Linked DNA regions of Solanum lycopersicum. The protein of the gene in region 1 binds, or shares a complex with, the protein of each later gene. Links are inferred from orthologs where the notes say so. Each region holds a gene or a part of one and is shown on either strand. Other genes may lie near its edges.

Evidence for each region.
Region 2: the proteins of ATP-dependent zinc metalloprotease FTSH 12, chloroplastic (region 1) and uncharacterized protein are in contact, whole or in part, in a cryo-EM structure (PDB 8XKU), measured with the Arabidopsis thaliana proteins. The link is inferred for Solanum lycopersicum from reciprocal best matches to the Arabidopsis thaliana genes FTSH12 and emb2737. Residues at the interface, in NP_565212.1 of Arabidopsis thaliana: Lys126, Asn127, Pro131, Ile134, Asn137, Lys138, Trp139, Trp142, Leu156, Ala160, Phe161, Leu163, Leu164, Cys167, Gln168, Tyr171, Met323, Glu327, Leu330, Val334, Ile335, Glu381, Asp382, Leu383, Leu404, Pro406, Tyr407, Phe409, Glu410, Cys413; in NP_001032071.1 of Arabidopsis thaliana: Thr82, Ile85, Ala86, Leu89, Lys92, Ser160, Ala161, Pro162, Leu163, Pro164, Ser165, Lys166, Ile195, Met196, Glu197, Pro198, Pro199, Ala202, Val205, Leu206, Met209, Tyr211, Pro212, His215, Ser224, Ile225, Phe228, Thr232, Leu233, Ile236.

The regions. Positions count from the first base shown.
Region 1 is NC_090801.1:59,801,500-59,805,798, forward strand, and holds the start of ATP-dependent zinc metalloprotease FTSH 12, chloroplastic, read left to right. Parts: upstream 1-1,486; 5' UTR 1,487-1,687; coding exon 1,688-2,089; intron 2,090-2,164; coding exon 2,165-2,349; intron 2,350-3,180; coding exon 3,181-3,401; intron 3,402-4,299. UniProt on the Arabidopsis thaliana protein: Probable ATP-dependent zinc metallopeptidase.
Region 2 is NC_090811.1:5,240,370-5,244,883, reverse strand, and holds the start of uncharacterized protein, read right to left. Parts: upstream 3,010-4,514; 5' UTR 2,905-3,009; coding exon 2,680-2,904; intron 1,675-2,679; coding exon 1,610-1,674; intron 1,090-1,609; coding exon 991-1,089; intron 566-990; coding exon 433-565; intron 1-432.

The DNA.
Region 1 (4,299 bases):
TAGCGAAATAGATATTTGTATTTATACATATAATCATTTTTGGAACTTATAAATTGGCTGGTTGCACTTTTAAAACATTACAGATTATAACTATCTGTTATATTGTATTGTTCATTTAAATGTATGATTGTCTTCGTTTCTTTATACTGCTGATATATGTACTACTCGTAAAAATGCATACAACGAACCCAATATAATAAGTTACTTATGCATTATAGTTATGATAGATATATTTTCAAGATTAATTAACTATTCTATCAAGGGTATAATAGATAAAATGAAAAAGGGCTTAAAATAACCCTTAAAGTATTGGAAATCCATTTATTGGTTCCAAAATATCTTCTCGCCCATTTATTGGATTTAAAATACCCATGTCATTTACATTTTGGTTTAAAATTGACAATTTATGTAATGATTTTATATTTAAATTATTTAAATATTTTTTTTAAATACATGATGTTCAACTATTTGTTATAATTTAACTTATTAGTATAATTTATAAAACAACAGAAAAGCTACAACCAATGAAAAGCTACAACCAATTGAGTGTTTTTAGAATTTTGAGGTGAAAATATCTATAGTACTAAATTATCATATATTTAAGTGTCTAAATAAAAATTTACCGATAAAAAGTCTGACTATGTTCATCTTAATTATTCTTACGTCTCAATTATGTGATGTTACTTCATCGGTAACTTTTTTCTCAAAATAATATATTAAATGTTTTAAAACAAATCATAAATATTTATAAAATTATATTTTAAAAAAGTGCATGAATTATTTCGGGATGTATTACTTCTTTATTTTTAATCATAAATTTCTAATTCAATCTTGAAAGAGAATCGTATTGAAAGTCTCATCCTAAATAAGTGGCTCAACCTAAATTTAATTGGGGCTTAAATTCGGACTCGAATAATTTCGGATGTTATTTTTCAGAAATCTATATTTTCATCGTGTTTTAGTAGTGTTTATGAAGATTTTGATATTATAATTGGATTATTAGTTGGGTGGGGTTTAGTTAGCAATGAATGGGTAGTGTGTTGATTTATAAATTAAATTATAACCAATAATTGAACGTCAAGGATCTTAAAAAATATTTAAAGAGTTTAATTTTAAAACAATTAAATAAGTGGTCAATTTTGAACAAAAAAGTGTATAGGTATGAGAAGAGCATTTTGGAGCCAATAGGTAAATGAAGGGTAATTTTGTACCATTTTCAATACTTCAATGGTATTTTAGGCCATTTTTCGTAGATAAAATATGATAAGTTATGTATAAATTTTATAAAATGACAACTATTGTTGTTCAGCTATTTATAGAAAGAAATGACGTATAAAATGAGACGGAGGGAATAATATTTTGATAAAATTAAAAAGTGTTACTTATTATATGACAAAATAATAATAAAGTGTTACTTATTATATGACAAATAATAAATAAACGTAGAAGTTAAAATTTATAAAATTCATGATTTTAACTTGTAATTGGAACTGCTTTTAGCCGTAAGGAAAAAAAAAAGGTTTAAGAAAATCAAAGCCTGCAGATAAACCTCTATATAAAAAAAATTAACAAAACCCCAAAGCCCCATTCGGTTTTTCCGACGACCAAGACCGGCGACAATTCAGTTTTTCCGACGAGCAAGAGAGCCGAAACCGAAGCATTATCTTCGTATTCTCTAAGCTTCTCAATGCATCTAACCACTACTCCTCCTCCTCAACAGCTGAATTCAATACAATTATCTTCAAAACCCCTTTTACTCACATTGCCATTCAAATGCAGAAGGAAGTTTTCCCGTATAAGAAGACCTACCATTGTAGCTTCTTCTTCCAATACTAATAACAGTCCTGAAGGGTTTTCTTGGCTGCAACTTTCACAGTCCATTCGCCGTGGTTCCGAACGTTTCTTGAATCAATTGGAAGACTCTGTGAAGCAAGAGACGGGTTTTGATTTTAAGGATGTTAAAGTTAAAGTTGGGGAATTTTCAGGTCGAGCTGTTGATTCAGCCAAGAATGGCCAAGTTTTGCTGCAACGTTTTCAGTCTGAGTTGTTTCCTGAGTTCTTGAATTGGAACAAATTCGAGTCCTGGAAGGTGAATTTTCCCATTTCTTATTTGAGTTATTTGTATAACTTTGTGCTCACATTATCCTTTTTCCCCTTCCCCCAGGACGTCAAGAAATGGGATTCCAAAAGAGTTGGTGTATTCATTCTCTATATTATAGTTACGGTATGTTCTTGTCAAAAAATATATATGGCAATTCGAGCTCCTATTATTAATAGGGAAAGAAAAGAACTTACTGAGGCATACATGGAAGCATTGATTCCTGAACCTACTCCTGTTAATGTCAAAAGGTAAAACACAAATCAAACTGCTAACTGTTTTTATTTTTATTTTATGAATACTTGATACTCGGAGATTGATATGATGTCATTTTTTGATCAGTTTGAGGTGCATCTTGAATTGTCTACCTTTTCTTTTGATGATAAAGGTTTTTATTAATAAAAAACGAATAAAAAACTAAACCAGTTCCAAGGAAGTATTTGAGAAACATAAGATAGGAAACAGATTATGGCTGCAATGTCTTTGGAAATTCTTAAGTCACTTCGTAAGCATCCTTTAGTTTACCTAAAAAACTTGTAGGAATACTTATACCTATGAATGGTTTCAGCTTTTCTTTCAATACACCTACCATTTCATTTTTACATAACATCCACATGATACAAGCCGGGATAGTGTCTCGAATCTCCTTTGCTCCTTTCAGAGTCCTTACAGAAACAATCATGACCCCACTAATCCCCAGTGCACTGTACTTCCGACCTTTTCCAAAGTTTTTATATCTTGTGATGGATTGGGGGAATTTAAGAGGAGCAGTCTTTTCATATGACAAGACTTTTCCAAAGCACGTCCCATGATGGAGACAAATGATTCTCTGATATTTTAAGGATTTGATCAGACTCTTACTTGACCATTGAACTTTTCTTAGCTGGGGTAAAAGCTCAATATTTCTAGATTTTAGTTTGATCTGCACCATTATCCTAAAATCAAATCAATGCAGTTTTATGAGTAGGAGGAAACATTTACCCATGCCACCTTATGCAAGTATGTCTTGTTGCTTGATCCAATTAGTGATCTAAGATGTTTTGTAATCTCTCAACTCCTTTCTTGGACATGTATTCTTATAGATTCAAGAAAGGTTTGTGGAGGAAGACGACCCCCAAAGGTCTAAAGTTAAAGAAGTTCATTGAAGCAGCAGATGGAACTCTTATTCATGACAGTTCCTATGTTGGTGAAGATGCTTGGGCAGATGATTCTGGCAGTCATAATATGAAAGAGGTGATAGACCATGATAGTAGATTGAGAGTAGAGGATAAAGAGACTCTGAAAGAGAATCTTGGAATTTCAGGTGAGTTTTGTTATTAACCTTGCATTATTTTTAAGTACGTAACGATCCTCCTCCATCATTTTTCCTTCATTCTAAAAAAAAAAAAGACGCATGAGAATTTTATAGTAGTATCTTATCATCTTCGAATTTATTTTTATTTTAAAATGAATAAGCTGCACTCTGCAAGCTCATTTTTTATATTTTCTTGCTCCCCCTAGTAATGGTAAAACTTTTGAACGGGTGGACTTCTCCCCTTTTTTGGTTTGGGTGAAGGGGAGGGAGGATGTATATTTACCAGTATTCTAAAAGGTGAGTGAAATTGGTCGCTGTCCCATGTTTTTTCATAAGCAGGTTGAAAAGTTACTGCAAAGTCATGATACAAGTAGATGTGATGCCGTGTATCAGTTTGAGGGCATTTTGTTTTTCTGGTTTTCTAATAGCAGCTGGACAAAAGAACGCTCTTTGTTGTCACCGTTTAAGAAAACACGAGTTAGAAATTTTAAACTTCTATATATTAAATATGAAAACTATATTAAAAGTTAAAATTTTATTATATAGACTATCACATAAATAATTCAATAAGTTTACACTAACAAAATAATTTCATATATTATGTTAATGATAAGTTCCTTTCTGCTGCCTATTCCACTTTTATAGTTCTTGCATCCACTGGATGCTTTGTTATTAATAGTTTATTACAACTCTTACTTCATAAAAAAAATGATATATTACGTTAATTTTTTAAAAATGAATTTTGTTAAAAGTAAAAAATTAACAATTTTTTTACATAATTTACTTGCATCCACTGCAAAAAAATGAATTTTGTTAAATTATGTAAAAGAAAATCATTTTAAGTTGCCAAGTGAATCCAAATTATGTTAGTAGTCTATTTAAGCATTTCTTATCCTTTTTCTTTTTG
Region 2 (4,514 bases), on another chromosome or scaffold:
ATAATAATTGTGTAATGTTGCCTCTTCAGGATAACACTCATTGATAGGGAGAAGTATCAAGTATGCCTTGAAGCCTCAATCACTACACTGAAGCGCCCACTAAGCGAGGCAAAGTGCTCAGCATGTTTTGTGCGTCGCTTCAGGTCTTAACATGCTTCAGGCGAGCCTTTGACAACACTGAATGAAACTACAGATACATGCCACATAAATAACATGAGCCAAGTTGATTTCTGGTTAGGCTTGGCTTTACTTATTCAATAAGCCCTATTCTCAACTTGGCTTTCCATAACAAATGAAACTCTATATCTTTACCTTGGCATTTTGGATGGTTTCTCAAGCCAAAAGAACTACTGGCATGACTCACTCAGTTTATTTTCAGCCCTTAAGAAGCTATATTATGAAATTTGAAAAAATTGCCAAAACAGTTCTCACCGATCCATCACAACTGGGACATTCTTTAGATGGCAGTGGCAAGTGAAGGTCCACTGTGGAAGGAAGATGCACCAACTCAGCTCTGTTATCAGCTATCGCATCAGCAATGGATTCAGCTGTGGCTTTTTCTCCCCTGTATCAGTAATTTGGAAGCTTTAAATAGACATAAATATTCAGTGTGTTTGACATTATCTTCATGTCCCTAGAATAATTTATGATTTTTCAGAACTATGATGATTAATAACATAAAACAAGAAGAAGGTGGCTCAGTACACCAACATGATGATGGTGATGTTTTGAGCTACCAACAGCAATTACACGAGCCACTTTGATTGCCGAATCTGAATTAAGAAACCTGAAGACTAGAATGTGTTTTAACAGTCACATGGGACGTGGGAGAAGAAGAAGGTGAAAGCACTTCAGTATATCTTTTAAGAGTATGCAGTTCAGAATATGACAAAAACCATAATGTTGTTCTAGAAATTGGATTAATACATAAAATGTGAACAGGATGTTCATTTTAACAGCAAGAGTACAAGTTTATCAATGATTACCTACCTTTTCAATGTGTAGTTCTTCACTTGGTAATGCACTTTGCCTGATCCTTTGCACATTGTGCACTGCAACGCCTGCCACCCACAGCATGTCCGGCAGTCCCTGCAGTCAATGAACCAAGCATCTTCTTTCAATTACACATGTCATCACCTTACATATCAAGACATGCCAGTTGACTATAAATTTGACAAGCATTTCAGCTTCCCTTCAGTAAGCACAAATAAGATGCTCTCTCACTTTAACTTCAATTTGTGATTACCACATCAGCTTGTGCATAAGGACATCGAGACCACCAATGAGCACAGAAGACAAATATCTGATATCTATAAGACAAATATCTGATATCTATCGAGCTCATAGTCCATTTAAAGTAAAATATGGATTGAAAAACCAAACCTATGAAAGAATGTGAGCATTCAAACCTATTCCTTAAGGTAATGGATGGAGTTGCCTGATACCTTTAATCTTCGATGCCCTTTTACACACGATGTGCATATCAGCAAAAAAACAAAACTTTTGACATGGACCATTTATCAATTTCATTATTTCTAATATAAGACACTTCAACTTCAGGAATATAAATTCTAACAAAAGTAAACATGAGCTAAGACTATAAGGGCACCTCTGGCTGATCACCTTCTTTCCGAGCTCCATTGCAATGTCATAAGTACCCAGAGTAGCTACCACCTGCAGTAAAACACCAAATATCTCTGTTAGGAGAAACCTTCACTGAACAAATACTTTCAGCCTAAAAGTCGTTGTATTAATCTCCGGTCATCACCTCTCTTACATATTACTTGAAGACTCAATCCAGGGAATGCTGAAAAAAACTTCCTATTCATGGGATCCTAGTGATATATGAACAAACATTCAAAGACACAGTCGAGGCATTCCAGTGAAACATGAACATATATTGAATACCCAGTTCAGAAATTCTAACAACTAGACTGTTCCATTCATGGTCTCTCAGTGACATATGAACAAACATATAAAGACCCAAATCAGGAAGAAATGCAGACAACAATGCTTCTCAAGTTATGGACGAGAAAGTGTGGTGAGCTTCCAGTGATTTATGAACAACTAAATTAAAGCCCAGTTCATAAGACACTGACCATTGGTTCCCCCATTCAAGGCCTTTCAGTGAAACATGAACATATATTGGAAGACCCAATTCAGAAATTTAACAACTAGACTGTCCCATTCATGGTCTCTTAGTGACATATGAACAAAGACCAAATCCAGGAAGAGATGCAGACAATTATGCTTCTCCAGCAATGGACAATAAAGTCCGGTGAGCTTACAGTGACATTTACACTCATATTCATAAAACACCGGCAAACCGATCCCCCATTCGAAGCCTTTTCAGTGACACGTGAACATACATTTGAAGACCCAATTCAAAAATACTAACAAATAGACTGTCACATTCCTGGTCTCTCAGTAACATATAAACAAACACTTAACGAATCCAGTTCATAAAACACTGAAAACTACCTTCCCCGTTCAAGGCCTTTTCAGTGAAACACAAACATAAATTTAAACACCCAGTTCAGAAATTCTATCAAACATACTATCCCATTCACATCCTCTCAGTGACATATAAACAAACACTTAACGACCATTAAGTAAAAAAAAAAAAAAACAGAAAGTAACACTTCCCCAATTACATACAAGAAAGTGCGGTGAACTTACAAAGATGGTCGAATAAGAGAGCTTAGAGATGAATTCAGGTACACCGAAACCTCTCGGAGCAGAGCCGGCAATGTCATATGCAAGTGTAATAGGTGAAAGAACAAGCTTTATTGGAAATTCGAAAATGTCAATGAGTTGCTGTCCATAGCGGCTACTGAAGTACTTGTATTGAAGGTCAGTGAATTGCTTCAAATTCTTCAGTAAGCGATCAGTGCCTCGAGACATTGCTCAAACATTCAACTAGTTGAAGAAGAAGAAGAAGATGGAAAAAAGGATAAAGAGGGAGATAGGCGTATTTCAAGCTCAGTTGTGTAGGGATAGGATTTGGGAGTACCATTTTTTATTTTCTACTAATTTTTTTTTAAAATGAAAACGGAAATCCGCAATAGCTATTTTTGAATTTCGTATAGTGTAAAAAATTCTATTTTTATGCAATAGCTCATAAATCATTCGCGAATCACATATGAGAGTTGCCTAGTGCGACGGCAAATCTGTTGCTTTCACTGACAAAGAGTTTCGAACTTCGAAGAATTTATTGTATTATTAAGCGATGAAAATAACTTTTTGAAAAAATATGAGGTAGAAATATTTATATATAGTTTCATATGGAACATTTTTATGAATACAATTTCACTATAAAGTTTTAATAAAAATAGTTCTCACTTCAAAATATTTTGCAATTTTTATTTTAATTTTTAAGATGAATTACTTGATCGATGAATAACTTTAATACTACAGAATTTAAAAATATTTATGATTAACAACATGAGTCAATCGATACGTAATAAACTCATATCTTAAATTAATGTAACTAACATTTATTTTATAATAAGGTTATACATAAGACCAAATATTGCATAAACTATAAGAAAGCATAAATATCAAAGATTCTAGAAATTCGAGTGAATTAATTTATTTTTCGATTCTTTAATTAATCGAAAATTCAATTCTTCGATTCGATATTCAATGTGAGGATCAATATTCTTCGATGCAACGAATAGTCAAATTGTTTATTAAATATATTTAAAAATAATATTTATATTACATTTAATTACATATTTTGACCCAAAACATTTTTAATTTTGAAACTCAACCCATTTAAGAAGATTGGGAAAATATATAAATTGGTGTATTTTAATAAATAATTACTGGTTTTAACAATACTTTTTACTTATTACTATTTATAGTAACATTATGTTAAATATGCAATATGAATTAAAAGTGAATTATGTATGCAATATATATGAATTATAATTGTTTTTGAAATATATTATGCTTGTTTGATAAAAATTTGAGACATGGTTTTATAAATGTATTAAAACGTGTGATAAATGTATTATCCATCATTAAAATTTATATTATATGTAAATAATAAATTGTTCTTTGTAATATGTATTAAACTTTTATTATAAATGAATTAAAACTGATCTAATGAAAAAAAAATACTCCCTCTCTTCCTATTTAGCTGTCCACTTTAGAAAAAGACCCACATATTAAAATAACAATAATTAATATGGTGAAGTTATAATTTTACCCTTCTATAAACTGTAATTTTAAGAATTAAAATGTATAAATTTATAATTTTAACTTTAATTATAAGATAATTTAAAATATTTTATTTTAATTTTTTTATTCTTTCTTGACTTGTCAAAATGGACAAGTAAATAGAAATTTAAAAAAGAAAATATGGACATAAAAATATATTATGACTATAAATAATAAATATTTTTTTTATTATAATATATTTATTAAAGAGATTTAAGTTTAGCCCAAGCCCTATTTGTATTGAGAGAAGAACTCATCTGATTCACTTTTCTGTTCTCACTTCTTTTCGC